Linked DNA regions of Mus musculus. The protein of the gene in region 1 purifies or fractionates together with the protein of each later gene. This does not show direct contact. Links are inferred from orthologs where the notes say so. Each region holds a gene or a part of one and is shown in the gene's direction. Other genes may lie near its edges.

Region 1 (15,128 bases):
CCCTTTCCTATCTCAGGCCTGGAACTCAACTTCATAGGGACCCAGAACCCACAGCCCAGAACACTGGAGGTCATCCCTCAGTTCACCTCGATCCCCTGCCTAGAAGAAGATGGTTGTGGCCACACTCAGCCTTTAGCATCAATCAAAGATAACTCTGCTTTCCAGGGCCACTTCTGGCTGGGAGCTTAGCTTTCTACAGTCCACCTCTCCATTCTATTTCCACACTGCAGAATGGAGAGAATGTAGTCGACCTCACACCCTAGGGCTCCAGCTTGCTGCACGGAGCGCAAGTGACCGCTTTTGAGCATAAGAGGGACAGGATAGCAGCCTCTCTCGGGATGGATGCACCTCCACCCAGCCTGCACCTCCACCCTGCCTGCGGCTGTACTGCAGCACCCGCCTGCCTCAGCTTGCAGAATCAGCCCAGGTCCCACACCCGTAATGGGCCTACTTCCCCACAGCTTCCTGAAGCCCCTCCAATATCTGCCCCAATAGGGTTATTTGAGCCACAGTAGTCCAGACCCCTACTTCTCCCTGGAACCCACAAGTCTCAGACCCCTGCCATCTCAAGGCCCCAACGTCAGACTCTACTCCGTACACCGTGGGCACTTGGAACTCAGGACCCAAGCCCCTTTTCTACGAGGGACCCAGGGGTCTGCCCTTTAAATATCCATGGTCCCGCCCTCTGCCCCTTCCAGCACCCCGCCCCCGCCCCAGGTGTCCGCTTAGGTTCTCACCTGTCTGTCCTTTGCCCAGCGTCTTCTCCAGGCGATAGGGGCCCACATATTGGGCGTGCTGGGGTGGGTGTGGGTGTGGGTGTGGGAGGTGGTAGGCGGGGGAGCCCCCGCCACCTTCCTTGGACCCGGACGACATGGTGCCCTTGGTCCCGGCCCGACCGGTCCCCCGGCCGCCCCCCCTGCGGCCCGTCGCCCCGTTCCTCCGGTGGGGGCCGGCGACACCTCCGTCCCGGCCCCCCCGGTTGCTCCCCACTTCTCCGGGGGTCCCCAGGGGGCTGGGCTGGCCCCCCCAGTCGGTGGGCCGCAGAGCTGGGGGAGGGGGGGCTGCCGGGGGGGTCAGGCCCCTGGAATCAGCATGGCGGGGGGGGCTGCGCGGCCCCCCCTCCCCAGCCCGTCCCTGGCCGGCCCCCCCCTTCCTGTGCCTCCCCCTGCAGGGGGGGTCTGAAGTGTGGGGCCGGCGGATGCTGCAGGCCGAGATCCCCCCCGCCCCCCCACGCGCCCTCTCTCCTCCGCCTCCTCCTCCTCTCCGCCTCCCCCCGCCACCTCGTCCTTTCTCTCCGGCACGCTGACATCACCATCCGGGGACTCCCGGCCCTTCCCCACAGTTAACCCTTTCGGAGGGGGAGGGGGAGTGGCAGGGGGCGGGCCTGGAAGCTGGACGGACGGGGAGGAGGTGGGAAGATGCTGGGATGTATGGATGGGTGGAGGGATGCTGGAGGAGAAGGATGCTGCAGGAGAGAGGGATGCCTGAAAGGATGGAGGGAAGGATGGAGAGAGATACAGAACCAGTATTAGACAAGCAGAGATGAAGACACAAAGAGAAGTCTGACATACATTAGTAGATGGGAAGATGCAGAATATCAGAGACAGGGTGGAGGAGTGAAGGAGGTAATAACGGAGCGGGGAGAATTAAGAGTTCAAGGCCATTATAGCTATAAAGTGTGTTTGAGGACAGCCTAGACTACGTGAGAACGCCCCCTCAACCCACCCCCTCAAAAAAGAGCTGAAAGGGGCAGACAGGGATAGGAGACAAACAACAGACAGGGATGAGGAGATAGAAATGCAAAGGAAGATGTAGAGCGAGGGGGACAAAGAGAAATAAGGACTGTCAAGGGTCCATATATTCACAGGAGGGAATGATGCTGGGCTTAGATGGGAACAGACTGTGGAGTGTGTGTGTGGGTGGTGGTGGTGGCAGAGGATAAAAGAGACAAAGATAGAAAAGGGAAGGACTTTGGGGAGTTGGAGACCTAAGTGTGATCTATTTCTCTATGTCCTCTAAGGTCAACACTGTGTACTCCTTGGGCTAATTCTATGTTCCCACCGTTATCAGGGCTCCACGTTCTGCTCTTGTTTTTTTTTTTTTTTAAGACAAAGTCCAGCTGACCTCAAACTATGTGGCTGAAGATGACCTTGAACTTCTGATCCTCCTGCTTCTGTCTCTCAAGTGTGAAATTACAGTCCTGGAGAGATGATTCAGCAGTTAGGAAGAGTAGGCTGCTTCCCAGGGACTGGGGATTTGCATTCTCAGCATCTATACAGTAGTTCATGGCTGTATGTAACTCCATCTGGTTTCCGGGGATCAAAGTACACGTGGTACACATATGCACAGACAGTTATCCATATGCATATTTCTTCCAACTCCTTTAAAATTGTTTAAAAACAGTCCGATACCACCATGCTTTAATGTCTCCTATACCTTGATAGGTAGGCAGATAGATCCCAGTGCAGGCTGGATGTGTAATGTTTGCTTGTTAAGTCCTGTAAACTTCAGGTAGGCCTCAGTATAATCCATGTGCCTCCGTGGGAGGACCATAGGTCTGCACTCAGCCATGAGGAATCTGGTTCCTATTAAGCTTCCATATAAGCCATAGCCTTCTTTATGGCAGGCACCCTAAGTTGTTAGGCATCCATTCCATCCCCAAGTTTCTCACAGGGTGCACCAATGCAAATTGGTGCTCCTCTGAAGTGGTAAGCCTATCAAGCCATCTTCATTTCAGTATCAAATCTGAGCCATACACTGTTCTGAATGGTAAGGATATGGCAGGGTGCTAAATCTACAAAATTCCTCCCCGGGACAGCCATGGCTACACAATAAAACCCTGTCTCAAAAAACGAACAAAACAAAGCAAAACAAAAAAATACATAGTTTTGAAAAAATTTCACACATGTCTATAATGTAGTCTGGTTACTCTCCCCACATCTGTAATTTATTATTTGTATGTGTGTGTGCAGATGTGAGTTCACACGAGCGCATAATGTTTGTAGAGGACAAAGGCTAGCCTCTAGTGTCCTTCCTCATGAGCTCTCCACCTTGGGTGTTTGTTTTTGGAAACAGGGTTTTTCTGTGTAGCCATGGCTGTCCTGGAACTCACTATATAGACTAGGCTGGAATCAAGATACACCAGGATGTTGTAGATCTGTAACTGAGAGCAGAGTACATACTTTAAACTCAGCACTCATCATGCAGATATGGTCAAACTTCTGTGAGTTTAGCAAGTCCCAGGCCAACCAAAGCTATATAGTAAGACCCTGTTGTGCCCCCTCCACAAAAAAAAAAAAAAAAAAAAATCCTTAACTGAATCTCATCTTCAAAATTTCTTCTGGCATATAAGGTCATATATTTATAGGTTCTGAGAATTAGAGCTAGAATGTATGTGTGTGTGTATGTATGTACATATACATACATATATATACATTATATACAACACATATATGTATATGTATGTATATGTGTCTATGTATGATGTATATATGTCTAATGATATATGATACCACATAGTATAAATGTACATAGTATATTTATATGTATATATAAATATTAAACACATACACACCATGATGATAGCCTAGATGCAAGCTCCTTGCATATTATGAAAGTTACAGTATGATACATAGATACATATATAGAGATAAATACATTTGTAATAACCTATACGGAATGTGATCATATAGCTTTTCCATCTCTACTGAGATTCTTTAGAGTAAGAGGACTCCTATTAATAATAGCATATACCTGTAATCACAGTATTCGAGAGGAAGAGGAATTCAAGATCAGACCAGATATATAGCAAGTTCAAGACCAGCCTGGGCTACAGAGATCCTTTTTAAAAACCTAGAGAGGCCGGGCGTGGTGGCGCACGCCTTTAATCCCAGCACTCGGGAGGCAGAGACAGGCAGATTTCTGAGTTCGAGGCCAGCCTGGTCTACAGAGTGAGTTCCAGGACAGCCAGGGCTGTAGAGAGAAACCCTGTCTCGAAAAACAAAAACAAAACAAAACAAGAAAACCTAGAGAATAGGGTTAGGGAAATGACTTAGTTAGTAAAATATTTGTTGCACATGATAAGGGACCTGAGTTTGAGTCTCAGCACCCACAGGGTAGGTGTAGTAGTACATGGTTATAGAGAAGTGGAAACAGGAAGATTCTCTGGGATTCAATAGCCAGCTGGCATAATCTAACGGGCAAGCTCCAGGGTCAGTGACAGACCCTATCTATAAAAAATAGATAAAAATAAAAGGTAAGGCTGGAGAGATGGCTTAGCAATTGAGTTCTATTCTTTCAGAGGACCCAAGTTCTGTTGCCAGAACCCATGTCAGGAAGTTCTCAATTACTGGTAACTCCAGCTCCAAGGAATACAAAACCCTCTTCTGGCCTACACATATACACATACATAAAGAGTCTGGATCAGGTGAGATTGCTCAGCAGTGAAGAGCATCGCCTGCAGCCAGACAGTGGTGGTGCACGCTTTTAATCCCAGCACTTGGGAGGCAGAGGCAGGCGGATTTCTGAGTTCAAGGCCAGCCTGGTCTAGAGGACAGCCAGGGTTACACAGAGAAACCCTGTGTCGAACAAACAAACAAACCCCCCAAACAACAAAACAAACAAACAAACAAACAAACCGCACTGACTGCTCTTCGAGAGGTCCAGAGTTCAATTCCCAGCAACCACATGGTGGCTCACAACTACTATCTATAACAAGATCTGATGCCCTCTTCTGTCATGCAGATGTATATGCAGACAGAGTACTAATAAAAATAAATAATTTCTTTTTAAATACAAAAATCAAGCCAGGCAATGGTGGCAAATACCTTTAATCCTAGCACTTGGGAGGCAGACACAGGTAGATCTCTGAGTTTGATTCCAGCCTGGTCTACATAATGAGTTCCAGGACAGCCAGGGTTACACAGAGAAACCCATATCAAAACAAAATTAAAAACAAGATATTTGTTAACAGCAATAGTAAGAGTTACAGGGAACAAACCTTATCTTCTGGCCCACAAGGGCACCAAGCAGGTACATAAGGTGTGTATATATACACAAGTAGGTAAAATACTCATACACAAAATAAAAATGAATAAAACGGAGCAGGGTGAGTGTGCATACTTTTAAAAAATATTTATTTATTATTATACACATGTACACTGTAGCTGTCTTCAGACGCACCAGAATAAGGTGTCAAATCTCATTACGGGTGGTTGTGAGCCACCATGTGGTTGCTGGGATTTGAACTCAGGACCTCTGGAAGAGCAGTCAGTGCTCTTACCCGCTGAGCCATCTCGCCATCCCTGAGTGTACCTACTTTTAAGGCGTGTGAATATTTATGAGTTGTAGGGCAACCTGCTCACATCGTTCTGCAGGCCTGCCCAGGCTACATACTGAGAGCCTCCCCAAAACAAAACACCAAAATAAGGAACCATCTCCAAAACAAAAAACAAAAGAGGGGTGGGGTGGGACGGAGAGAGAGTTCAATGAGAGATATTTCAATGATTAGGAACTCTTGTTGCTTTATTGCTCTTGCTGAAGACTCAGGTTCAACTCCTAGCACCCAATTATGATGGCTCACAACCATCTGTAACTCCAGTTCCTGGCAATCCATCAAGCAAGCATACAGTGCACGCACATACATGCAGGCAAAATGTTCAGGGTCAGTGGTGGCACACGCCTTTAATCCCAGCACTCAGGTGGCAGAGGAAAGTGGATCTCTGTGAGTTTGAGGACAGCATGGTCTACAGAGTAACTTCCAGGACAGCCAAGGCTATACCGTAAAACACTGTCTCAAAAAACAAAACAAAAACTAACCAACCACAAACTATTTGTACACAAGTAAATAGGTAAGTCTACAAAAAAATTAAAAGAACAACAATAATTTAAGAGGCTGAAGAGATAGCTTGTCATTAAGAGTACTTACTGTTCTTGCAAAGAGCCTGAGCTTGGTTCCTAGCACCCATATATATATATATATTGGTTGTCTCATAACTGCCTGTAACTACAGCTTTAGTTTGTCCTTTGTCTCTGGCCCCATAGAAACCTGCATTTACAGGCATCTGCCTCCTCCCCTACTACATAATTAAAAACAATCTTTAAAAATAAAATCTAGCCGGGCAGTGGTGGCCCACACCTTTAATCCCAGCACTCGGGAGACAGAGGCAGGCAGATTTCTGAGTTCGAGGCCAGCCTGGTCTACAAAGTGAGTTTCAGGACAGCCAGGACTACACAGAGAAACCCTGTCTCGAAAAACCCAATAAATAAATAAATAAATAAATAAATAAATAAATAAGTAACTCTAAAAATATTTTTAAAATGATTGGAAGATCGAAGGTGGAAGACAGCTGATGTTGACATGGGACTTCCCACACACCATGCATAGTCACATGAAGACACACAACTCACACAGAGTATTCCACACTGAAACCGGTAATAAATGGGGAAACTGAGGCCTAGAAAAAAGTGAGCCCGAGTCTCAGGTTACAAAGGTGGGATATTAGGGGAGATATCCCGAGACTCTAGGAGCAAATGCAGTTAAAATCAGTTGAGTGAGGAACAAAACCGTCTGAGCAGCAGCAGCAGCAGCAGCAGCAGCAGCAGCAGCAGAGAAGGGGCGTGGCCTACGCAGGGGCGTGGCCGAACAGGACAAGCTGAAGTTCCAGGTACTAAGAGGCGGGACTTGACTGGGACAGGCCGAAAGGCCTAGAAAAGAGGCGGGGAATATGGGCATAGGCGGGGCCTATGCCTGGGAGGGGAGGAGTTCGCCATGAAAGTCCCTTGTTTGCTAAGATAAACAGAGGAGCTAGGGGGCGGGGCTTATAACAAAAGCGCGAAATGTAGGGGCGTGACAAAGAGAAAGTGGTGGGGGCCTAGTCGACAGAGGCGGAGCTAAGTGCCGCATCCGCTAAGAGGTGCTGCTTAGAACTGGGCAAACAGCTTGGGGTGAGGCACTTCCGTGTGAGAACTGCGTATTTCCGGTAAAGATGGCGGCGCCCAGTAGAGTCAGGTGCAGCCTAGTCTATCTTTAGGCGTGGTGGCAGCTCTAGACCCGGCAAGGTGAGATCAGCCCCATTGGGGCGCCCCTCTTCAAAGACACGGGAGGAGAATTGTTGCTAAGGAGACTGAGCGAAGGCTTGTTGCCATGGAGGCGGGGCAGTGGGGTTGCTAAGAGACGAGGACGCAAGCTGGGGAGCTTGGGGGGGCTCGTTGCCAGGGAGTAGGTGGGGCCTGTTGCTAGGGAGCAAGGAGGGACATCTGGATTTGGGCAAGGGTCCTGTTAGTATGAAGGAAGGAAAGGGGGCTATGGTTAAGGTGGTTGCAGGCAGAATGGTTTGGGATCATGAGAAGACTCCTAACACCTTCAAAACTCCACCTTCTCAGCAGACCTTCAAGAGTCGACCCATCCGGACACCATTGCTGCCTCAGCGGTGACCATCAATTTCCTTTAAACACATTCTTCCTTCACAGAAAGTCCATGGCAGACAAAGGCTCAGGGGGCAGTCGCCTCCCTCTTGCGTTGCCTCCGGCCTCTCAGGGTTGCTCGTCAGGGGGCAGTGGTTCCTCGGCGGGGGGCTCAGGCAACCCCCGGCCTCCACGGAACCTCCAAGGCCTGCTGCAGATGGCTATTACTGCGGGTTCTCAGGAGCCAGACCCCCCTCCAGAACCCATGAGCGAGGAGGTAAAGTATGAGGACCTAAGAAGGTTGGGTGAGGGTCCTGAGGATCTAAGTGTCTTGGGGAGAGTGGCTTAGTGAGCTACAAGCTGTTGTCTTCCTGGGTGGTGAGCTAGAGTCTAAATGTGGCATCATGATAGGGTGAAGGTCAGCTGTAAAGTGTCCGATCGCAGCCTTGTATTGGGAAGTCTCATGATGAGTGAAAAGTCTAAAAGCAAGCTGGGTTCTCTAGACCCAGGCAGAACTAGATTCAGCTTTGTCTCCACAAGTGTGACCTTGGGTATATTATTTAATCTTTCGAATCCTCAAGTGTTCGTTCATTTTTGAATTGATGGTGATAATAGTAATGATAGTGTCTTATCAGGCAATTCTGATGTTCCAGTCTATACTGACTCGTACACAACGTAGTTGGGTTTTGCCAGTTGCCAGCCATGACCTTGGTTGGGCAATTCACATCCTTTCTTTGCCTCTGATTTTTTTTTTTTAATCAATGAATTTGGAATAGCTATAATAAAACCTTACAGAATTGTCTTAAAGGTTGATAGGAATTTTTCATGTAACTTTTTTTAATTGACATTTACGATACATAGAATATTGTAGTAATTCAGTTAAGTTACAGAATAATTTATACATGTTGTGTCATGTTGTGCCAAGGTGGAAATAGGCATAGAGCAATGAGATAGTTTGCCCAAATTTGTCCAGGAGCGTGATTTCAAAGCCTTACAGCTTCTTCCCCTTTTCTTTCCTGTTTTGAGATTGCGGTCTCAAACAGACCACGCTAGCCTTAATGACCTTACCCTCCTGACCTTCCTGCCCCACCTCCAAAGTCTTGGACTTACAGATATATGGTAGCCATTTCAGTCCTCCTGAAGCGCCCTTTTGGGGACAGTGTAGTTTCTGGTCTTCCTCTGGACTCCTTTCTTTTGTTATCTCTTGTTCTCCTCATTCTCTATCTTTTCTGGCTTTTTTTTTTTTTTTTTTAATTTCTCCAGACGACAGTTGGCATGGCTGGAGAGCCCTTCTTGTTCCAACTTGGTAGCAAGTGCAGACCAGGGATACTATTCAAACCTCATGTAGTTCTCAGGACTTTTGTCACAATACAGAACCATCCAGCTCACCACAGCCTCCGGTTGTATAGCTGATCCTCAAACCTGACATCTTTTGGGAAATGGGCGGGACTTGTTGCTGAGGACAGAACCCCTGTATCAGCCTGACTCCTCTTTCTCCCCTCCTCCCTTAGCTCAACAGTTGGTTCTCTCTTCAGAGTCCAGGATCTGGCCATATTTCACACTGATACACAGATGAGGTTGTTCTTGAACTTGCTTCTGCCTCCATCCCACCCCGTGCTGGGATTATAAGCATGTGCCACCGAAACCTGCTCCATAAACTTTTCTCTTGCATGGACTACTTAGAATCCTAGTAAGCGCTCTTTCCCTGCTCCTATGCTTCTCAGTCCACCTCTCTGCCTCTCCTCGGGAGAACTCCCTTCCCAGCTCCACCCACTTCATTCAGAGCAGAATCTAGGCCTTTGCATCTGTTTGTAAGATCCAACTTGCTCCTTTCCTGGGGTGTTTCTCTCTCCTCAACTTTTTTCTTCCCTCACTTAACCTTGCTTCAGCCACCTTGGCTTGCTGGTGATTGCCTCTGTCTTGAATATTCTTCCTAGTATATGCTTGGCTATTCCCTGGCCTATTTCATTGCTGACATCTGACCCTCCAAGATGACCCCGTTTAAGTTCTACAGGCCAACCTCCACTCCCATGATCCTCCATTGTGCTTAATCTTACTTACCCTATAGCACTTGTCATATTGCCATCTCCTGTCACACTACATGTTTTGTTTTGTTTGTTTTTTCCCTCTAGCTTCTCTCTGTGTTTGTCTTGCACACACCCTGAACAACACTTTTTTTTCTCTAATCAGTCTGTCTCAGGACTGACTCCCTAGAACCTAGAAAAGAAGTTATGAGTAAAAACTGTGTAAACATCTGAGTGTGGTGGCTCTTGCTTGTTAATCCCAGCACTTGGGAGTCTGAGGCAGGAAGGCTGCTGTGAGCGGGAAGCCAGACTGCACTATAGAATGAGAGACTCCTGTGCTTCCCCCAAGATGTCTCCTAGATACTTGTTGATGGAAAGAGCCATCAGTCCTTGCATTTGGCTGTCCTATTAGTGTCACTCCCTGGGCAGTCACTGAGAGACATCTTCTACCCCCATCCTTCTCCCTTCTTCCCTAGAGACGCCAATGGCTGCAGGAAGCCATGTCGGCCGCCTTCCGGGGCCAGCGAGAGGAGGTGGAGCAGATGAAGAACTGCCTCCGGGTCCTGTCCCAGGCCACACCCGCAATGGCTGGCGAAGCTGAGCTGGCCACTGACCAGCAGGAGCGTGAAGGCGCACTAGAGCTGCTGGCAGACCTGTGCGAGAACATGGACAATGCAGCAGGTACCCTCCTCCCTCAGTACTCCCCAGGCTGTCCCACATGCTGTCTGGCTCTGCCCTTTCCCAATTCTCCTGTATTGAACCAGCAGCTCCTCCCAGGAACAAAGCCCTCCTCATACCCCACCAAGTCCCTGTGGTGACAGATTTGTTCTGCTACTTCCCGAGGAGTCCTGGGACTGATGTTGACTCCCTAATTTGCTTGCTACTCTCTCAAGGGAAGGGAGGTGGTTTGGGATGGAGTGGTAATCTGAGGCCGCCTGGAAGTAGAGTGTTTGATCAGAGACCTGAGTGAGGGTATTTCATGGGGTATATCACCTGAGTGAGGGTATATCATGGGGTATATCACCTGAGTGAGGGTATGTCATGGGGTATATCACCTGAGTGCGGGTATATCATGGGGTATATCACCTGAGTGAGGGTATGTCATGGGGTATATCACCTGAGTGAGGGTATATCATGGGGTATATCACCTGAGTGAGGGTATGTCATGGGGTATATCACCTGAGTGAGGGTATATCATGGGATATATCACCTGAGTGAGGGTATGTCATGGGGTATATCACCTGAGTGCGGGTATATCATGGGGTATATCACCTGAGTGAGGGTATGTCATGGGGTATATCACCTGAGTGAGGGTATATCATGGGGTATATCACCTGAGTGAGGGTATGTCATGGGGTATATCACCTGAGTGAGGGTATATCATGGGGTATATCACCTGAGTGATGGTATGTCATGGGGTATATCACCTGAGTGAGGGTATGTCATGGGGTATATCACCCGAGTGAGGGTATGTCATGGGGTACTCCTGCTTTACAAAAGGCATTCGAGGCAGTAGGAATAGCTAGTGCAAACGTTGAGGTAGGATGGTGCTACTGTGATCAGAACAGACAGACATCCTCCTGTCAAAGGAGTGGGACGGACACGTGTAGGTCTAGGGTAAGCAATGACATTGAAGTATCCATGGTCAAGGTGCATTCTGTAGGTCACATTCATATGTATGTATGCATGTATGTATATATAATTTATTTATTTTTAAATGAGACAAGATCTCACTATGTAGACCTAGCTGGCTTGGAACTCTGTGGTCCAGGATGGTCTCAAACTCACAGGTATTTTACCTGCCTCTGTGTCTCATGTACTAGGATTAAAGGGGGATCAAAGACATTTGCTACCACAACCAGCTTTTTTTCCTTCTTTTTTAAAGATTTATTTATATGAGTACACTGTTGCTGTCTTAAAGAAGAGAGCATTGGATCCCATAACAGATGATTGCGAGTCACCGTGTGGTTGTTGGAAATTGAACTTAGGACCTCTGGAAGAGCAGTTGGTGCTCTTAACCACAGAACCATCTTTCTATAACCACCCCCCCTTTTTCCCCCTTTTTTATGTATGTATGTATTTATTTAATGTATATGAGTGTACTGTAGCTGTCTTCAGACACACGAGAAGAGGGCATCGGATCCCATTACAGATGGTTGTGAGCCACCATGTGGTTGTTGGGAATTGAACTCAGGTCCTCTGGAAGAGTAGCCAGTGCTCTTAACCACTGAGCCATCTCTCCAGCCCTTTTTTTCCCCCTTTTTTGAGACAGGGTCTCACTGTGTTACCCTTGCTGGCCTAGAACTCACTATGTATACATATTAGGCTGGTCTTAAACCCACAGCGATCCCCCTCCTCTGCCTCCTGAGAGCTAGGATTAAAGACGTTTTATGTTTATGTGTGAGTGCCTGCATGTATGTATTTGTGTGTACCACCACATGCATATCTGGTAACCTCAAAGGCTAGAGAAGAACTTTGAATCCCCTGGAACTGGAGTTACAGGCAGTTGCAGTCTGCCCATGTGGGAGTTGGTAACCGAATATGGGTCCTCTACAAGAACAGCAAGTGTTGTTAATCTCTGAGCCATTCCTCAAGCCCCACATTTTTTTTGTTATTGTTGTTGAGACAAATTCTCAGGCAGCCCAGGCTACCCTCATGCTTGCTGTGTACCTGGGGTTGGCTTTGAACTCCTAATCTTCTTTTCTCCTCTCCCCCGGTGCTGGAATTTCAGGTGTGTGTCACCAGGCCGAGTTTCTTTTTTTTTTTTTTTTTTTTAATTTATTTATTATTTATTATATGTAAGTACACTGTAGCTGTCCTCAGATACTCCAGAAGAGGGCGTCAGATCTCATTACAGGTGGTTGTGAGCCACCATGTGGTTGCTGGGATTTGAACTCAGAGCCTTCGGAAGAGCAGTCAGTGCTCTTAACCCCTGAGCCATCTCGCCAACCCCCAGGCCGAGTTTCTAAACTTTACTTTTATTTATCAAGGTAAAAAAAAAAAAAAAATCACAAAATGGGCCAGTGAGAGGGTTCAGTGGGAAAAAGTGTTGCCACCCAGTGACCTGAGTTTGTTAGAAACTCACATGATGGGAAGAGAGAAACACCTCCCAGAACCTTGACCTTTAAAATCGTACATAACATGTGTATGCCTACACACACACACACACGCACACACACACACACCACTAATAAATATAAATAAATATGTAAATGTTAAAAAGTCACAACAGAAGTAACCATTTTGAGTATATAATTCTGTAGCATCCATCTCTTTTATTTATTTAATTTTCTTGTTTTGTTTTACTATTTTTGGGAGGGAGGTTTTATGAGACAGGGTTTCTCTGTGTAGCTCTGGCTGTCCTGGAATTCAGAGATCCTGCCTGCCTCCTCTGAGTGCCAGGAGTAAAGTCGTGCACCACTACTGCCCAGACAGTCTATAACATCCTAGCTGACGCTGAATTTGTGACTGTCCTTCTGTTTATACCTTCTAAGAGGTGGAATTACAGGCTGTGCCAGCACTGGGCAGCATTCAGGACATTACAGTATTTTGCAGTATTACCTCCAGGTTTCAGAACTTGTTGAGTATGGCAAGCCTACTCGACTGAGCTAGATTGCTAGCCCTCTTTGCATTTCGTGCTTTGAGGCAGGGTCTCAGAAAGATGCTGAGTCTAACCTTGAACTCCTGAAGTCCACGCAGAACTTTTAATCCTCCTGTCTCAGCGTTTTGTTTTTTTTGTTTTTTTTTTGTTTTTCTAGGCAGAATCTCACTATGCAGGTCTGTCTGTGCTGGAATTTAAGTATATATATAATATATAATATAATAAATCAGTCAGTAAGTATATATATATATAATATAATAAATCAGTCAGTATGTATATATATATATATATATATATATATATATAATATAATAAATCAGTCTGGTGGAGTCAAACACACAGAGATCCACTGGCCTCTTCTTCCCAAGTGCTAGGAGTGCACTAGTATACCCTGCTCTGTCTTGGCTTTCTAGGTAGCTGGGGTAATAGGCATGTACCCCCAGTTCCTCCCAATCTCTTGTTTTGTGACAGTGTCTTGTTTTGTTTTGCTTTTGTTTTTCGAGACAGGGTTTCTCTGTATAGCCCTGGCTGTCCTGGAACTCACTTTGTAGACCAGGCTGCTGGCCTTGAACTCAGAAATCCGCCTGCCTCTGCCTCCCAAGTGCTGGGATTAAAGGCGTGCACCACCACCACCGCCCGGCTGTGACAGTGTCTTATGTAAACCAGGAAGGCATAATACTTCTACGTAGCTGAGGATGACCTTGAATTTAGGATCTTACTGCCTCCTTCTTAGTGCTGAGTGTACCACTATGCCTATTGTATGTGGTGCTAAGACCCAAACCCAGGACTTTATGAAGGCTATGCAGGCACTCTACCAACTGAGCCTTAGCTACAGACCTGACTCACTTCCAAATCTTTTCATCAGCCTTTCTTCTCATACCCTGTCTCTAAATGAATACCCTGTTTCAAACCTTGTCTCTAAATTCTAAGGAGTAAGCGGTCAGCCTGTGAATTGGGGGCTTTGACAGTTTTCTCTCCTCTCCTGTCCATAGATTTCTGCCAGCTGTCAGGCATGCATCTGCTGGTGGGTCGATACCTGGAGGCAGGGGCTGCAGGGCTGCGCTGGAGGGCAGCACAACTCATCGGCACATGCAGTCAGAACGTTGCAGCCATCCAGGAGCAGGTGTTGGGCTTGGGTGCCCTGCGCAAGCTACTTCGGCTGCTCGACCGGGACTCCTGCGACACGGTACGAGTCAAGGCTCTCTTCGCCATCTCCTGTGAGTGTTCCCGGATTTCAGGGGGAGGGCCTGGGGCCAGTGCTGACCGCAAGGGTGGGGTTTGCTGATCTACAGGGGAGGAAAGGTTGGGGTGCTTCCTTTACTTTTGATTTGTATTCCTGTTGGGGCTCTGTGTGGTGCAGGAGCCAGAGTAGTGACGTCAGAGCCAGATACTAATTAGGCCCTGATGGTGCTGATAGATGACCTTGTGTTCCAGCTAGAGCTTCTCATACCTATCAGAGTCCTTGTCCACGTTTGGGGTCAGTTCATTTTCTGCCTTGGGGATCATCCTATATACTGTAGGATACTGAGCTGTGTTTGTGGTCTCCACCAACTGAAGACATAGGAGCATTGACCAGTTATAACTTAGCCAAGCAGTGGTGACGCAAGCCTTTAATCCCAGCACTCAGGAGGCAGAGGCAGGCAGATTTCTGAGTTCGAGGCCAGCCTGGTCTACAGAGTGAGTTCCAGGACAGCCAGGGCTACACAGAGAAACCCTGTCTCAAAAAACCAAAAACAACAACAACAACAACAACAAACCAAAAACAAAAAAACCAAACCCCCAAACCCTCAAAACAACCAAGCAGCACTTCTCCAGACAGGGTAGTCCCTCGGAGAGGACTGCGGTGGCTCTATGTGAATGCTGTCTGCCCTCACAGCTGTGAAGCAAGGGAACCAAGGCGTGGGCAGAGGTAGTGAAGATTTAGGTGCCAGCTCGGGGACAGAAAGAAAATCATTGTGTTAAAGCACTTGCTGGTTTTGGTTTATTTTTATAATTTATATATTTTGTGTATGTAGTTCCTTCTACCATTCAGGTCCTCAGTGTGTGTGTGTGTGTGTGTACATATTAATATAAGAAATATATACAATTATATATTACAT
Region 2 (15,172 bases), about 130 Mb from region 1:
AACAAAGCAAATGGCGGGAGTGCTTGTCACTGACCAAAGGCTTAAGGACTAGCAGCCTGGGTCCTGGATACAGATGACATGGACTCATGGAACTCAAATGCAGCACTGGGTATATTTACAATAAATATTTGGTATATTCTCACTCTACAAATGTTTTCAGTGTTCATCTGAAATTTTGTTTTGACTTACTGGCCTATTTGTTGCCTAGCAACCAACCCTCACATGCAATAAGCACTACTTTCATTGCATATGGAGTCTCTGCCTGGTATGCCACTGACCAGGGCCCGAGCAAGGGTACACATTTAGTAGTATTTCTTTTTGTAGGATGCTGTGGTTCTTCCTGCAATCCCGGGAACTGCCTCTGGAGGTCACTGTCCTAAATTGTGGTTTATAGGCCAATGTGTTCTAGGATTAGCAGTCTGATTAAAAATGTAGAGTTCTTGGGCTAACCCAGAGATATTGATTTCAAAACTGATGGTGGCTTGATAGTCTGCTGTTTAAGCCAGCTATTATGAAACAAACTGAGGTTCTAGCTGGGCACAGTGGCCCAGCACTGGAAAGGCTGACCCAAGAGGATTGAGTTCCAGGCCGGCATAGGCTGTGTAAGGAAACCCTAAGAAAGAACAAAAAACAATGAAACTCTACTGGCCTACATTAGTAGTTTACACCTGAGTAGTAGACCTGAGCACTTGTCCAGCTTTGCTTCTCGTGAAGACTGCACATCTCTCAGTGATGCAATTCTGTTTGTCTTTCTGGATCACGCCACTCTCTTTAAAGAAGGAAGAGGTGGGTCCTGATCATCTCAAATCCAACTTCCAGCTCTGAGCACAATCATGAGTCAGAAGCTCAGGGCTTCCCGTGTTCAGCAAGCAGAGAGTGGGGTTGGCTACGTGTAAGACCCAAGGTAAGCGAGACCCACATTCCAAAACACTACCAAGGGTTAACAGTCTCCAAGGCCAGCATCCTCCGCTAGTTGCACAGCAACTCCAAGGGCACTGGATTCCCCCATTAGACTCAGCAGCACCCACAACTGCTCTCAGCCCTCACACAGTTCTCTTTCTATCAAGGTTTTATAGAGGATTTCTAACTCTGTTTCAAAAAAGTATTGGACAAGCATGAGTCAGCTCTCGGTAATTCTTCCAATTATGAGAGCACCCTGCAGGCACCGAGACATCTCGGCAATGCACCTTTGATTTGAAGGGATCTAGGATCCACAGGGTTACCACAGAGCAGGGCCTATTTTGATGATGGGGCACTAATGAGGAGACTGAGAGAACCACAGAGAACCTCAAGAGCCTGGAGCCTCAGACTGAAGGAAAGAGGGCAGAGGGAAAGCAGTCCTGAGAAGCCTCCCTAGGCCGTGCTGAAGCTGGGGCATAACAACAGCAATGAGGACTGAGGGTGACTGTCCTGGGATGTGAGCCTTGAAATAGCAGCAGGTATCAGGATAAAAGGTTAACTTCCAAAATAAATGAATAAACTACCAGTCTTTTTAAAAAAATAAAGACAATGAAAAGCCAAAAAGTTTACTTCTAAAATAATTTAGTGTTGTCTTTGCTACAATACTTTTCTGGAGGGCTGGAGAGATGCCTCAGTGGTTAGGAGCACTGACTGTTCTTCCAGAGGTTCTGAGTTCAATTTCCAGCAACCACATGGTGGCTCACAACCATCTGTAATAGGATCTGATGCCCACTTCTGGTGTGCCTGGAGATAGCGACAGTGTACTCAAATATATAAAATAAATAAATAAATATTTTAAAAAAACCAGTGAGTAGCAACTTATTATACTATCTGAATAGTGTCTCGTGTTCAATGGGAGTCTGGAGAGGTGGCTCAGTGGTTAGGAGCACTTGTTGCTCCTAAGATAGACTTAGGTTCAATTCCCAGCACCCACATGACTGCCCACAGCCATCTGTAAGTCCAGTTCCAGGGGATGTGACACCCACTTCTGTCCTCTGAGAGCACCAGGCATGCACATGGTGCACATAACATACATACGGATAAAACACTAACACACATAAAAAAATAAATCTAAAAAAAGGAAACATAGTGTTTAATGGAATACATTTGAGGATACATTTTTTTCCAAAACAATATAAAAATATTACATGCTACAAATAACTAGATGCATATTTTTAAAATAATGGTCTCACTGTGTATCTCTGGCCAACCCAGAAATCACTACATATCAGAGGTCTGCCTGCCTCTGCTTCCAGAGTGCTAGAATTAAAAGTATGTGTCACCACCTGGTAACGAAATCAGTCTATTACTGACTAGCATTTCCCTGAGAGACTCATGCATGGTGAGGGAAATTTTGCAAACTACGAAGCTCTAGCTTACAAACCGTTTCAGAACGGCACAAACCGTGCATCAATATTAACTTCAATAATTGATGACACCGGTGCTACACTACATTGAGCTACTTTATAAGACATTTTTAGCCTGGATTTTGAGTATTAAAATATTTTTGAGTGAACTACATTGTTTTTTGTGTTTCCAACATTTTGAAAGCACTTTAAAATTGACAGTACCAGTCAATTTCCCCTACATTGCCTAAGGGCTTAAACAGCTCGGTTTGCAGGTGCAGAGCCTGCTGCTGGTGAAAAGGCTGATCAGACAGAACGAAGGCCTTTGAGTCCAAAGGCGGCAAGGGAGGCAGATTCAAACGTTGTTTTCTCGTGTGTGACAAACACAGGATAAAGCTGTACAAGTATAAGGGACCAAGGATGTGTGTGAAGAAAACGTGGGGTGTATCAGAAAGGACTTATTAGAGTGACCTGAGCGGAATCTACAAGATGCGCAGGAGTAAGCTAGGGAACTCAGAGAAGGAATCCTAAGCACAAGAAAAGCACCAGCAACTTAGAGCTGTGGTGGCACACAGTAAGTTAGTCATCCACTCCACATGTGTATCCTAAGCAAAGAGGCCATGAGGCACTGAGACGGGAAACACGAGAGCTCAAAGCCAATGCGACTGTCCAGGGAGGCATGTGTGACAGAGACCATCCCAAGGAGACGTATGTTAGGCAAATTCTGGCAGCTGTTCTTGTCCTAACGTTTGAATGATGGGAGGAGTGATCTGTTTCCTCACAACACTGGATTTCAATCACTTACATTAGAGGCAGTGATGATAACTTTTAGAAGCCTACAGCATGTGTTTGATTATGGGGGAAAGGCTCTTAGAGCTGGAGGAATGTATAAACTTTATGTAACCCAGATGTGCCTGGTTTCTCCAGGCCTCAGGGATCACTCTCCTCTCCCAACTAAATTAGTCCCTGCCTGTGTGTGGCTTCTTGAAACCCAGCCCCTGGCCAGACCTTCCTCCATAAGTCTGGGGGCGGCGGGGGGGGGGGGGGGGGGGGAGGGGGGAGGGGGGAGGGAGCTTGATTGGCTTGCCGGAGCCCTGAGCTCTCATGAGCCCCTTGGTGTTGTCAGACTCCTGTTCTGTATACCGAGCTCTCACTTCTGCTTCCTTCATTTCTCCTTTTTGTAGGGTACTAGTAGCACATTTTCCTACTAAGCATCATTAAAAAGGATCCACATGTTAGCATCTCAAGAAATTTGTACAATATTTGAGTCCCGAAGAAAAAAAAACCCACTACTATACTACCTCAGTAAATTCTTACTGATACATCGTTATTAATAAATGACAAAACTGTAAGGTTATCAGAACCTAACTTATATTTGTAGAAGTGTTAATAAAATTAAATATGAAACAAGAAAGAAAAATAGAAAAATGTTAGACTAAATGTAAATCATTTCTTTCTTACATGAATCTGTTCATTTAGAGACACAAAAACAACCAGAGATTTCCATTTCAGAAACAGATGGATTTTCAAATTGGGACCATATTACTTTTTAAATATTTGCTTATCATTTAACATACTATGATGTGCAATTTAATTTTTAAAAATATTCCTGTAAAAAAAAATATTCCTGTAACGTGAGTTAATGGATATACAGGGTTTATTTTTAAGTACTCAAAGTTTAATCTTTTTGTGTTAGCTACATAGGTCTTATTCAGATCTCTGTATTATTATTGTGTGTGTGTTCATGCCACAGGACATGTGACGGCCAGAGGGGAGCTTTCCAGAGTCAGTTCTCTCCTTCTACAGTGGGGTCCAGGGATGACATGGAACTCGGGCCCTCAGTTTTGTTTGGCACAAGCTTTTATGTGACGAGCCTGCTAGCCTCTGATGTAATAAACAACGAAAAGGACAAAACAAACAAACAAACAAACAAACAAAAACTGGCTCTAAATACAGAGTAGTTTAAAAAAAAATCACAAAACATGCTTTAAAGTAAGGATCTGCAAAATATGCACCAAAAAGTTAATTCATAAAAATGTCTTGTTTTGCATGAAAGCAATTTGCAGACTGCATCTGCTTTCTCCGAGAACTCCTAAAGTTTTTCAGTTACTGGGTTTTTAGAGACTAAGGAAAATTATAACCTGGCATGGCTAAATAATTGCAAAGGCCAAAACACTGAAAACTGAAAACGTATACCTCCGTCCTGGCTCAGCCATTAGGAGCACTTTCTGCTCTTGCAGAGGACACAGCTTAGCACCCACAGCCCACAACTCCCAACTGCGTGTAACTCCCGTTCCAGGAGATCTGATGCCCTCTTCTGGTTTCTGCGGGCACTGCATGCACACACGCAGCCAAAGCACTCAAAACACATTTAAAAAAAAAAAAAAAAAAAAAAAAAACCCAAAACGTAATACCTCGACATAAAACAAAACCTTTTACCTCAAATATATATGTTTTATGAGGAATGTAGCAGTTTGTCTGTTATTGGGTGCAGGGTGGAAATGTAGCTCCGAGTGCTTGCCTAGCCTACACGAAGCCCTGGGTTCCATCCTCGGGCAGAAAGAAACCCCAGCCCTCGGGAGCTGGAGGCAGAGTGTCAAGTTCAAGGTCACTCTCGGCTATTTTGCGAGTTCGAAACCAGCCAGGGCTGCATGAGCGCTGCCTAGAAACCGATTAAACAGACTGATGGCTTCTCTCTCCTTGCTTCAGCCCCACTGATCTGAGGGTGCTGAGACCCACGGAGGTCCCCGCGCGTGTGCAACTCGGAGAAGCCCCAAGAGAGCGGCCGCCTGCGAGGGCCTTGATGCCACCAGCTTTGATTACGCGAATACCCAAGGCGGCACCGCCCCACCCCAGCCACCGCGACTTTGACTCAAGTCTCATTAACTGTTTGCCAACAAAGACCGGCCACGAGCGAGGGGGAGGAGCCCGGGAGGCGTGTATCGCGAGAAGTGTCCGCCCTAATGGTGTGACAGGCAACGGCGTGCGGCAGCTCCTGCCCGGACCGCGAAGGAGGAGCCAGAGCCGGAGGACGGGCTGGACCTTTGGGTGAATCTCGCGAGATTTCATCGCGCTACCTCGAGCTCTTCCTGGCAGCCGCCGGAAGTGCGAGCCGCTGAGTGTCCGAGTCGCTCGCTCTGAGGTTCTCCTGCGACTCTGGGCCCGCGTTCCTGTCGCCGCCTCCAGGGCTCGCGCGTCTGGTCGCCTCCCCAGGGTCGGAAATGATGGGGGACCCCAAGGAAGCAGGAGCCGAGGCTTCTCCTTCAGGGGCGGCCGCCCGAGGAGGGCTCAGCCTCCTGTCCCAGGCGGACTCCGAGGAGCCTTCTGCACAGGTGAGAGGCGGCGGCGGCGGAGCGCGACCTGCAGGGGCTTGGGGGGTTTGCGGGCCTGGGAGGGGGACGTGGGGCTTCTGGAACTTTCTTCCACGCCTCCTTAGCACCTCTAGTACGGAATGAATCACCAGGCGAGCCTGTCGTCGGGTGTGCAGGCAGGCGTTTGCTTGCAATGCGCAACACCCCTGGCTTCGCACTCGGCGCCAGTGGACGGGCTATAGAGTGTGTGTGTGTCACAGCCCGCCGAAGGCAGGCAGAGGAGAGAGGGACGGACCCAGGGAGGGCACAGAGAATTTGCAACGCCTGGAAGGGTTCTCGAAGGAGAGTCGAACAGCGGGTCCAGACATTGAGCATGCCCGGGTGGGTGTAGGGTCAGCTACGGAGCTAATGTAGAATGGGATGCGATGAGCTTACCGATCAATCGCTGTGTGTTTGGTAAAAATAAACACGTCCTGCAAATGACGTTTGTCATTGACTTATGCTACTTAAAAATATTCCATTAGAACCGTACAGAAGTCTTGCTCGTTTTACATGCGGTTGACAGGACACAGTTGAGCGCACTTAGTTTCTGAGTCTACATTTTTCTGTGACTCATCGTACCGGGTTGAGTCTTGGCTGGTGTGGAACTGGTTATGCAGACCGGGCAGTCAAGCTGGACGTAGACCTTGCACTGGCCCTTGTGCCTCTGCCTCCAGAGTGCTTGAAGCTTGTGTTTGCAACTACTATGCCCAGATTTTTAAAAAGCAGGTTGGTTGGCCCCTGTCCACTTCTTGATTGATCCTTTTTTTTTTTTTTTTTTTTTTTAGTTTCGTGAAAAACAGCTAAGTAAGCGTAATTTAAGCTTGTTTATTAAGTGTTAGAGCTGACACGCAGCTGAGGCTCCTTGTGAATCCTGATTTGGTGGGTTCTTAATTCATTTTTATGAAAGTGAGATTGTCGTTCCTGGCAGTGTTCATTAAAGCTTCATTCCATATGTTATTTAGGGATCGGCCTTATTTCTTGGAGGCAACGAAGTGAAAAGCAGAGCTGTGGTAAAATACTCTTCTGCCCCTCCTCGAACAGCGTTTGCACGTCTCGAAGAAAAAACAGACTTGAAACTCCCACCTGCCAACTGGTTACGAGAGAGTGCCAAACTAGGGCCAGCAGGAACCACCATTCTTGGCAATAGTAAGAAAAGCAAGCCGTTTTCAAGGTAAATTTTAATCGCTGGCATTTCTTTCCCTCCCTCTCAACCCCGGCTCGAAGCTCTGAAAGCTGCTTCGCAGTTCAATTGGAGATGCATGTTCACTTGCTCAGATATTTTTAGTAAAAGAATATAGTTGTCATCCAAAGTCCATGGTACAGTAAGAAGATTTCAGAGGTACATGCTTTCTTCCAGGCTGCAGCATGTCACGATAACGTGTACACGTTGACTGCTCATCAGCTGTTTTAGCCTGTTGTGTCTGCTTTCATATGTGCAAATAGGATGGTATGCGAGGGGCAAGACTTAAGCTGCTGCTCGGCTTGCCCTTTGGAGTGTTTATTAAATATGATGGAGTATTTGGAAAAGCCTGAGGTTTAAAACCCCAAATGCTGGGTAACCTACACCCTTGACCCACACTGGAAATTCTACTGGTGGTTTTTAAAGTTGTGAGTATTTGGGAGTCTTATGCTGTGTCTATATTCTTGTAGGCTGTTTTAACCGTGTTTTCTTTTTCCTCCCCTGAATGATTGGACTTAAAACATTTTTATATAACTTATATAAAACTTTATATAACACAGAAAGAGCCACAAATGCATTAATACCCTGAGCTAGTAGTTTAGAGATTATCCTAGTGCCTCAAAAGGTAATAGCTTTGCTTACAAGTTGATGTAGCATTTTTGATACTGTGAAAAGTCTGAAAATGACCACATATTTCGACTATTTTAAAAATGGCTTAATTGTATTAAATGTGGTGAGTTGGTTTCAGTAGTTGTGCTAGATTTTTTTCTTTTTTAATATTTATTTATGTATTATATATAAGTACACTGTAGCTGTCTTCAGATACACCAGAAGAGGGCATCAGATCTCATTACAGATGGTTGTGAGCTATCATGTGGTTGCTGGGAATTGAACTCAGGATCTTTGGAAGAGCAGTCAGTGCTCTTAGCCATTGAGCCATCTCTCCAGCCCTAAGATAGACACTATTAACTGTTTGTACATGAGAAATGAAGGCTAACCTACTTGCCCAGAGCAGATAGAAAATCATACATGCATATGCAGTCCTGATTAAATGTCCTGACTCTGCCACCTACTAAGGGGAAAATGGTGACATCCGTTGCTTTGCAACCTTATAGATGAACTTGGTGATTTGAATGAGTTAGGTGCTTACCAGTTTTTCATTTTCTCTTTAAGCTGAGTTGATTTTAGGTACAATTTTTTTTCTTTTATTGATGTTATATCTTTATATGTTATATCCATACATGTTAACATATTTTTCTCATTTTGTTTTTCTTCATATGTGGAATTAAATCTTGAACTGTTTTGCATCAGAGAGGTTAAGGGTTTATGCTCACACTGACTGCTTTTTGCAGTTCTTACTGTCTCACTAAGTTGAAGATGCATTTTAAAGATGTGCTTCATTTTCTGTGTACCTAAGAAGAAATGAGAAGTTGGCAGCCAGATGGCAGTGGACTTCTTGATTTCCAAATGTGAGGTGTGCATGTCCTAGAAGCAGTAGACAGTTTTACTCTGTTCAGCCTTCCATCTGTGGCCTCTTCCTTCCTTCCTTCCGTAGTTTCGGCATGGCGTATGACTTCATTGACTCGGTGGGAAATGATGTGGATGTCGTCTCCGACTCAGAAGTGAGTGTTTTCACGGTGACTTTGGGGATATGCAGTGCCGCAGGGGAGGGGAGGAGGATGTTAAAACGTGTTATGCTTTACAGTCTTGCTATCAGCAATGGAATAAGACAAAGTTATGTAATTATTCAATACCTATGTTTGCTTTAAAAATGCTTTTTATCTCCTCTAAGAGGAGGATACAATTCCAAAACAGTGGGACTAATAAAAAATATGAATACTGTTGGTTGTATTTTAACAGTAATAATTGAATATGTTTAGAGTTATTCTGTGTCTATTACCATTTGAGAATTTAAAATGGTATACTAGTAGCTGTTGTCCTCCATCCCTATAAAAAGGAATTGTACTGTAATAGAATATGTAATAGTGTTGGGCTGCACTTACATTGACAGTGTAACTCAGAGTTTAAAGCTCTGCCCTCTATATGATTATTATTACGAAAAGTCTAGTTTGTGTAACCTTAAATAAGGCTTATTAAACTTCAGATTGAATGAAGTTAAACTCCATAAATTCTGGGTGATACTAATGGGGCCTCTCTAACTCTCTTAAGAACATAAAAAAGCTCCTGAAGATTCCCTACAGCAAGTCCCACGTGAGCATGGCTGTGCACCGCATAGGAAGGACCCTCTTACTAGATGAGCTGGACATTCAAGAACTCTTTATGAGGTCATCTCAGGTAACTACTTCATGCAAAAATCATTTAGAAAAGCACTCTCTTAATATGAAAGTGTGGTTTTGTTTTAAGGAAATGCCAGAGTCGGGCTAAGAGCACTTGCTGGGCAAGCACAAGGACCTGAGTCAGATTCCCAGACCTTGTCTAAAAAGCAGAGCATAGTCATGCAGGCCTGGAGCCCCATTACTGTGGGGAGCTGGAGATAGGATGGCTAGGGCTTGCTAGCTTGGCAGGAACCGGATCAGGAATGACAAAAAACAACCTTGGGGTACAGCGAGATAGATGGTGATAGAGCAGGACACCTGACAACCTCATCTGACATCCAAAACAGACCTGCACGCCTGAGCATCAAACACACGCATATGTACATATTCATACTTAAAACAGTTTTTTTTTAATGCCAAATTGGAATTGTAGCTGAGTACTTCAGCAATAAAGAAATGAGCTGTTTGATCAGAGACTTAAAAATAGAGAAAAGCTTTGTTAAAGACAAAGCATCTGGTCATGGTTGGTGGAATGCAACCAACCTCAGGCTGAGGAGACAGAAGCAAGAGTGAATCTCGAGTTCAAGGCCAGTCTGCTGTATGTAGAGTTCTAGGACAGCTGGGCCTATATAGAGAGTCTTTAAAGGGGGGTGAGGGGGGAGAGAAAAGAACAGAGAAGAAACTTCGTATAATTTTTAGGTGCATGATGGACACATCTGTGAACCACATGGCATGCCTAATAACTAGGGAGGCCAGAAGAGGGTGCTGGATCATACAGATATTTGTGAGCTACCACTTGGGTACTGGGAACCAAACCCAGGTCCTCTGGAAGATCAGTCAGTGCTCTAAACCATTGAGCCATCTCTCCAAACCCATTTTTTTTTTAAGCTGAATGTAAAACCAGGATTCTGTCTTTAAAAGGATGAAGTCAGTTTTTAAAAGAAAGGATTGGTAAATCTGTGAGATTAAAGGAACTAATTGTTTTTGAAAATTCTTTTAATGTCTATTATAGACATACTCTGGAAACATGGCTGGCCGAAACGTAAACAACGTTAAAGAGCTGTTCCTATGAGTATAACTAATTATACGAGTTGATTTCTAGCTTCTCAGGCTGCTGGTCCGTAGATGCTTTCCCCCAGGTGATAAGGACAGTTGTGACTTCTCTAGGCCTACTTGATGCTTGCCTTCCTGGGCTGCTGACAAGTACTTGATGGTTCTGCCTGTCTGTACTACCTTTTAAATATTCCTACACAGTGCTATTTTTGCTTGAACCTATCTTCATGCATGATAGATAAGTGTTCTGTCACTGAACTGTACCCATGAACACCTCTTTCCCCAGACAGGGTCTTGCTAATTGCCCAGGCTGGCCTCTAACTCACATTGTAGTTCACCCAGGTCTTAAACTTGTAATTCACCTGCTTCAGTCTCCAGGTAGCTGCGATGACAGACCTGCCTACCAGTCCTAACTTCTCCAATGCTTGGATAACAAAAAATAAGTTACAAGAAATTAATTTGATAATATAGTTTCTTTAGAAAGCAACACAGTGCAGCTTGTGTGTCCTGTACTTGGTCAGATCTTAGGGTGACAGTGAACAAGTCACAGCCCTTGCTCCTTAGTTCAGTGTGGTTGTTGAGACACACATAGGTACTTTGATTAAAGTGTAAAGCGGGGCCTTCCTCGGGCAGCTGAGAAGGTACTGTAGGAAAGGATTTCCTCTCCAGGCCTAGCTAGAAGAGAAACGTAGGAGATTCTTAGATGTGAATTGGGTGCAGAAAAATCAAAGTGTTCTTTCTATTGTTCTTCCTATAAGTGCATGCTCATGAAACAATCTGTAGAAACTAAAGAATATCTGCTTTTAGCTGAGAGCATTGGGTGAGTGAGAATCGGTGTCTTGCTTGTCACAGAGAGGAAACATCCAGCAGAAGAGCAGGAGGGACGTGAGTGTTGTTCTGGGTGGGTGCAGAAGCTCCATCCTGTCACCCTGTCACAGCACAACTCCTTAGAGCCAGGGTGAGACTCTGCTTCCCTCATGATGACCGAAAAGTAAAGAGAGAGAGAAGGGGCCAGGAGTGCAGGATCCTTTCAAGGCCACACCTCCAGAGACCTAGCTTCCTTCCTCTAAGCTCTGCCTTCTAGAGGTTCCTCGGTATCTTAGAAACACCATTGGCTGTGGGCTGAGCTTTCAACACAGTGTCCAGTATTCATCACACGTGTGCATATTTGTTCGGTAATGTCTCGTTATTCAGACTGGTGATTGGACATGGTTGAAAGAGTTCTATCAAAGACTGATCGATCAGAAGTGGCAGAGGAAGAAGAAAAGCAAGGAGCACTGGTATCAGAAGGCTATTCTTTCCAAGTTCTTGTACTACAGGTATTTGACTACTGTTTATCTTTGTCTTAGGAAAAATCAGATTCTGTCCTAAAATTTACAGTTTGAATAGGGTAAAATTTGCAGTTGAAGTTTTGCTTTGTTAACACTAACTATGTTTCTTATAGACAAGATGCATGCTTGATTATAGAGTCTGTTTTATACAGACAGGTAGGCTGTAGTATGATGTGTCACGTTTTCCTCTCTATTTCCGGTTGACTAGCATCAATGGTGATGGAGCTGCGCAGCCTGTCCCGTCTCCTGCAGAACAAGAAGAGTCATCGAGTTCTCAGCAGACACATGAGTCTGAAGGGGCCGCCTGGCCTGCTCCCTTTGAAATGCCCTCTTCCGTGTCTGAGGATCCCAGTGCTTCCAGTCAGGTTTGTCAGTCCTTGGATCTGATTCTGTGAACTCACTCAGGAGAGCAGAGCTGAACTAAGCAGGTGATGAAGAAGGGTGAGGGGTATTCACTCAGCCTCATCTCAGGGTTAGAAACAAAAATGCATTTAGCTTTCCACAGTAGAATATCCAGCAGTTAACATGAATCAGGGTTAGATTAAATAACACAAAATATTTTAAAGTAGTCAACTGATTTTTTTTTTCTCTTAAAATTGAGTACGACTGAATGTAAAGTGTATTTTTAACTCTAGATATGTACTAAGTACCTGTCATGCATTGAGTGATAGGTGTGCCTATAATTTAGGTTGTTTGGCCTAAATTGGATGATGTTCCTCCTGGAAAATGGATTTGGCCCCACATTATCATATAAAGATTTTTAAATATTTTTATTTTATATATATGGGTATTTTGCCTGCATGCACAGATCTATGTGCCAAATGCATGTCTGATATGATAGATCTCCTGAAACTAGAGTTCCAGGCAGTTGTGAGTTCCCATGTGGGGTTCTGGGAATTGAACCAGGGTCCTCTAGAGTAGCAGGAAAGTGTTCTTGACTGCTTAGCCATCCCTCTAAGTCTATGTGACGAAAGAATAGACTGTTGTCTATTTTATTTATGTTTATTTTATGAATATGGGTGTTTGCCTGCCTGCATCTCTGAGTAGTACCGTGTGCATGTCTGGTGCCTACTGAGGCCACAAAAGAGTATTCAGTCTCCTGGAGCTAGCGTTAACTGACACTTGGGAGCTGCCGTGTCCATCCTGGAAATTGGAGCCAGTGCTCTTAGCCATCCCTTCAGCCCCTAGTTACTTGTTTTTAACTTACTCTGTCTTCCGTAGGATGAAATAACACTGTAGATGCTAATTTGTGGCATTTCTGTTTTTAGGAAGATACACTAAAATGAGTCAAAAGAAATAAAAGTAGACCTTTTTACCCAAACCAGGCACTATTGTGGATGCTGACAGGAGCCTAAGAGAGCTGTCTCCTGAGAGGCTCTGCCAGTGCCTGACAAACGCAGAAGTAGATGCTCACAGGCATCCATTGGACTGAGCACAGGGTCCCCAATGAAGGAGCTAGAGAAAGGACCCAAGGAGCTGAAGGGGTTTGCAGTCCCATAGGAGGAACAACAGTGTGAACCAACCAGTACCCCCCAGAGCTCCCAGGGACTCAACCACCAACCAAAGAGTACACATGGAGGGACCCATAGCTCCAACCACAGAGGATGGCCTTGTGGGACATCAATGAGAGGAGAGGCTCTTGGTCTTGTGAAGGCTCGGTGTCCCAGTGTAGGGGAATGCCAGGAGTGGGTGGGTTAGCAAGGAGATGGGGGGTGGGATAGGGGGGTTTTCGGAGGGGAAATGAGGAAAGGGGATAACATTTGAAATGTAAATAAAGAAAATATCTAATAAAGCATTTTTCCAAAGGGAAAAAAAGTAAACCTTCTAACTTGGTAAATTGGGTTTTTGTCTCGCTGTATATTGTCATGGACTGAACATGAATTCAGTCAGATTGGCTCAGTCTTTACACATAACAGACTTGTAAAAAATTAGCACATCTAACTTGCTTTTATTTTTTTTAAAAAAAAGGCTAACTTGATTTTAATTTTAGAGATTTTAAAGTAGAGAAGGCATTCCATAAAAGTACGTATTTAAATTTGAGGTGTTTGGTTTTTCCCCAAAGAGAAAACATCAAAGGAAGGAGGTGCTTAATATGCAAGTCACTTAGTGGTTACAGGAAGAAGTAGAGGCGTATCGTTTTGTATTCGGTACTTGATGTGTTTTATTGCATGTGGCTGTCTGTAACCAGAGGATTCTTAGAACTCACATTACAGTGGCTAGAACAGTGGCTGCGTAGGTAAGCTCACACTGCTCTTGAAGGTCTGCATTCCATACCATCACCCACGTTGGGCAGCTTGCAAATGCTTTAACTCCAGCTCCAGGGGAGCCTTTGTGTTCCTCTAAGTCAGTGGACTGAGATAGTTCTGTGAAGGCAGCAGCAGGTCCATGTGTGCATCTCAAGGCCAAAGGAAGAGCATCAATGTTCTTGGTGACAGCTGCCTAGCGGCTGCAGTGCTGTGGTGTGGCATACTGTGTTCACCCAAAATGTGGGTATTTTCTAATGTAGTCCAGATTCTGGGAAGAAGAAAAGGATAGGGCTACAAAAAAAGACCCTGTCTCAAAAGAAGGAAGAAGTAGTTTCAATATTAAAAAATGGGAGGACATTGGATTATACAGAGAGGGAGGTAGATTTTTCTAATTTAATACCATTTAAAATATTTGGATTTTGTGTTGTTTGGTTTTGTTTGGTTTTTAGAACACTGGTGGGAATGATGTTCAATAGACATTAATCTTCAAAAGCAGGTTTTTGGCAGGCAGCAGATTTTCACACTAATTGGAAAGTTCTCTAGGGTTTAGGATTCTGTGACGCTCACATAGGACATTCTCAACTGGAGACTGTGGAAGGTGAAGGTTGTTTTAAACTGTGGCTGAGGTGCCTGGTGTTTTAGTTCAGTAGAGATCTGCTGGGCTTCCAGAGAGTGGTAATCAAACTTACCAAAAACCAAGGAATGAAAAGTGATTCTTTGAAAGATCTTTAAACCCATCTCATTTAAGATATGGATTTGATTGGCTTGCAGCCACTGTGGGAAATCAGAGCTAAAGCAAGCCACACCCCATGAGTTATGAACACCGTGCATTGTACTGGCTAATTCATACAGGTAGATTGGGATATGTGTTCTTGTGCGTGGGTGATAGTTCTGTAAGCATAGGTCAATTGTAAGACGTGTTGGCAGCACAGTCACTCCTTATCTTGCACTTTCCACAGGGCAGGGAGCCTCTTGAGCCCTCATGCATAGTGGGGCATGTGGCCTCAGCACCTAAAGAGCAAAACCTTACTACTTTGTTCAATGACGGGGAGAACAGTCAGGTATGCTTTCCATGTGCCCATCTGCGACAACTGATCCCAGTCCACTTCATCCTTTGAGAACTAGTCTCAGTTGGAACTGATAGGGAATAATTCCACTTGGTCTTCAAAATTGCTTTGTAAACATCTCTGTCTTACAGCTCTCGGGAATTGACCTTGTCTCCTTTGCTTCTTCTTTTCTGGTGTTTCTTTGGATTATGGGGGGAAATTGTTAATCTGTTGTTGTTATTATAATCTATCCTGTTTTAAATTAAAGGGTCTTAAAAATGATTTCGTCCGGAATATCCTGTGGACTTTTGAAGATATTCATATGCTAGTTGGGTCTAACATGCCTATATTTGGTGGAGGCAGATATCCAGCAGTTAGCTT

What was found.
Region 2: the proteins of Hspbp1 (region 1) and Edrf1 purify together in Homo sapiens (affinity purification with mass spectrometry; 3 studies listed by BioGRID and IntAct, counting the BioPlex papers as one, with this or other methods). This does not show direct contact. The link is inferred for Mus musculus from reciprocal best matches to the Homo sapiens genes HSPBP1 and EDRF1.

What each region holds. Positions count from the first base shown.
Region 1 is NC_000073.6:4,676,825-4,691,952, reverse strand, and holds the start of Hspbp1 (hsp70-binding protein 1), read left to right. Parts: upstream 1-6,971; 5' UTR 6,972-7,059; intron 7,060-7,383; exon of another isoform or gene 7,384-7,386; 5' UTR 7,387-7,477; coding exon 7,478-7,681; intron 7,682-9,904; coding exon 9,905-10,109; intron 10,110-14,021; coding exon 14,022-14,246; intron 14,247-15,128. UniProt on the Homo sapiens protein: Inhibits HSPA1A chaperone activity by changing the conformation of the ATP-binding domain of HSPA1A and interfering with ATP binding. Interferes with ubiquitination mediated by STUB1 and inhibits chaperone-assisted degradation of immature CFTR.
Region 2 is NC_000073.6:133,632,286-133,647,457, forward strand, and holds the start of Edrf1 (erythroid differentiation-related factor 1), read left to right. Parts: upstream 1-5,389; 5' UTR 5,390-5,527; coding exon 5,528-5,638; intron 5,639-6,621; coding exon 6,622-6,830; intron 6,831-8,394; coding exon 8,395-8,461; intron 8,462-9,008; coding exon 9,009-9,134; intron 9,135-11,362; coding exon 11,363-11,487; intron 11,488-11,707; coding exon 11,708-11,864; intron 11,865-14,704; coding exon 14,705-14,806; intron 14,807-15,059; coding exon 15,060-15,172. UniProt on the Homo sapiens protein: Transcription factor involved in erythroid differentiation. Involved in transcriptional activation of the globin gene.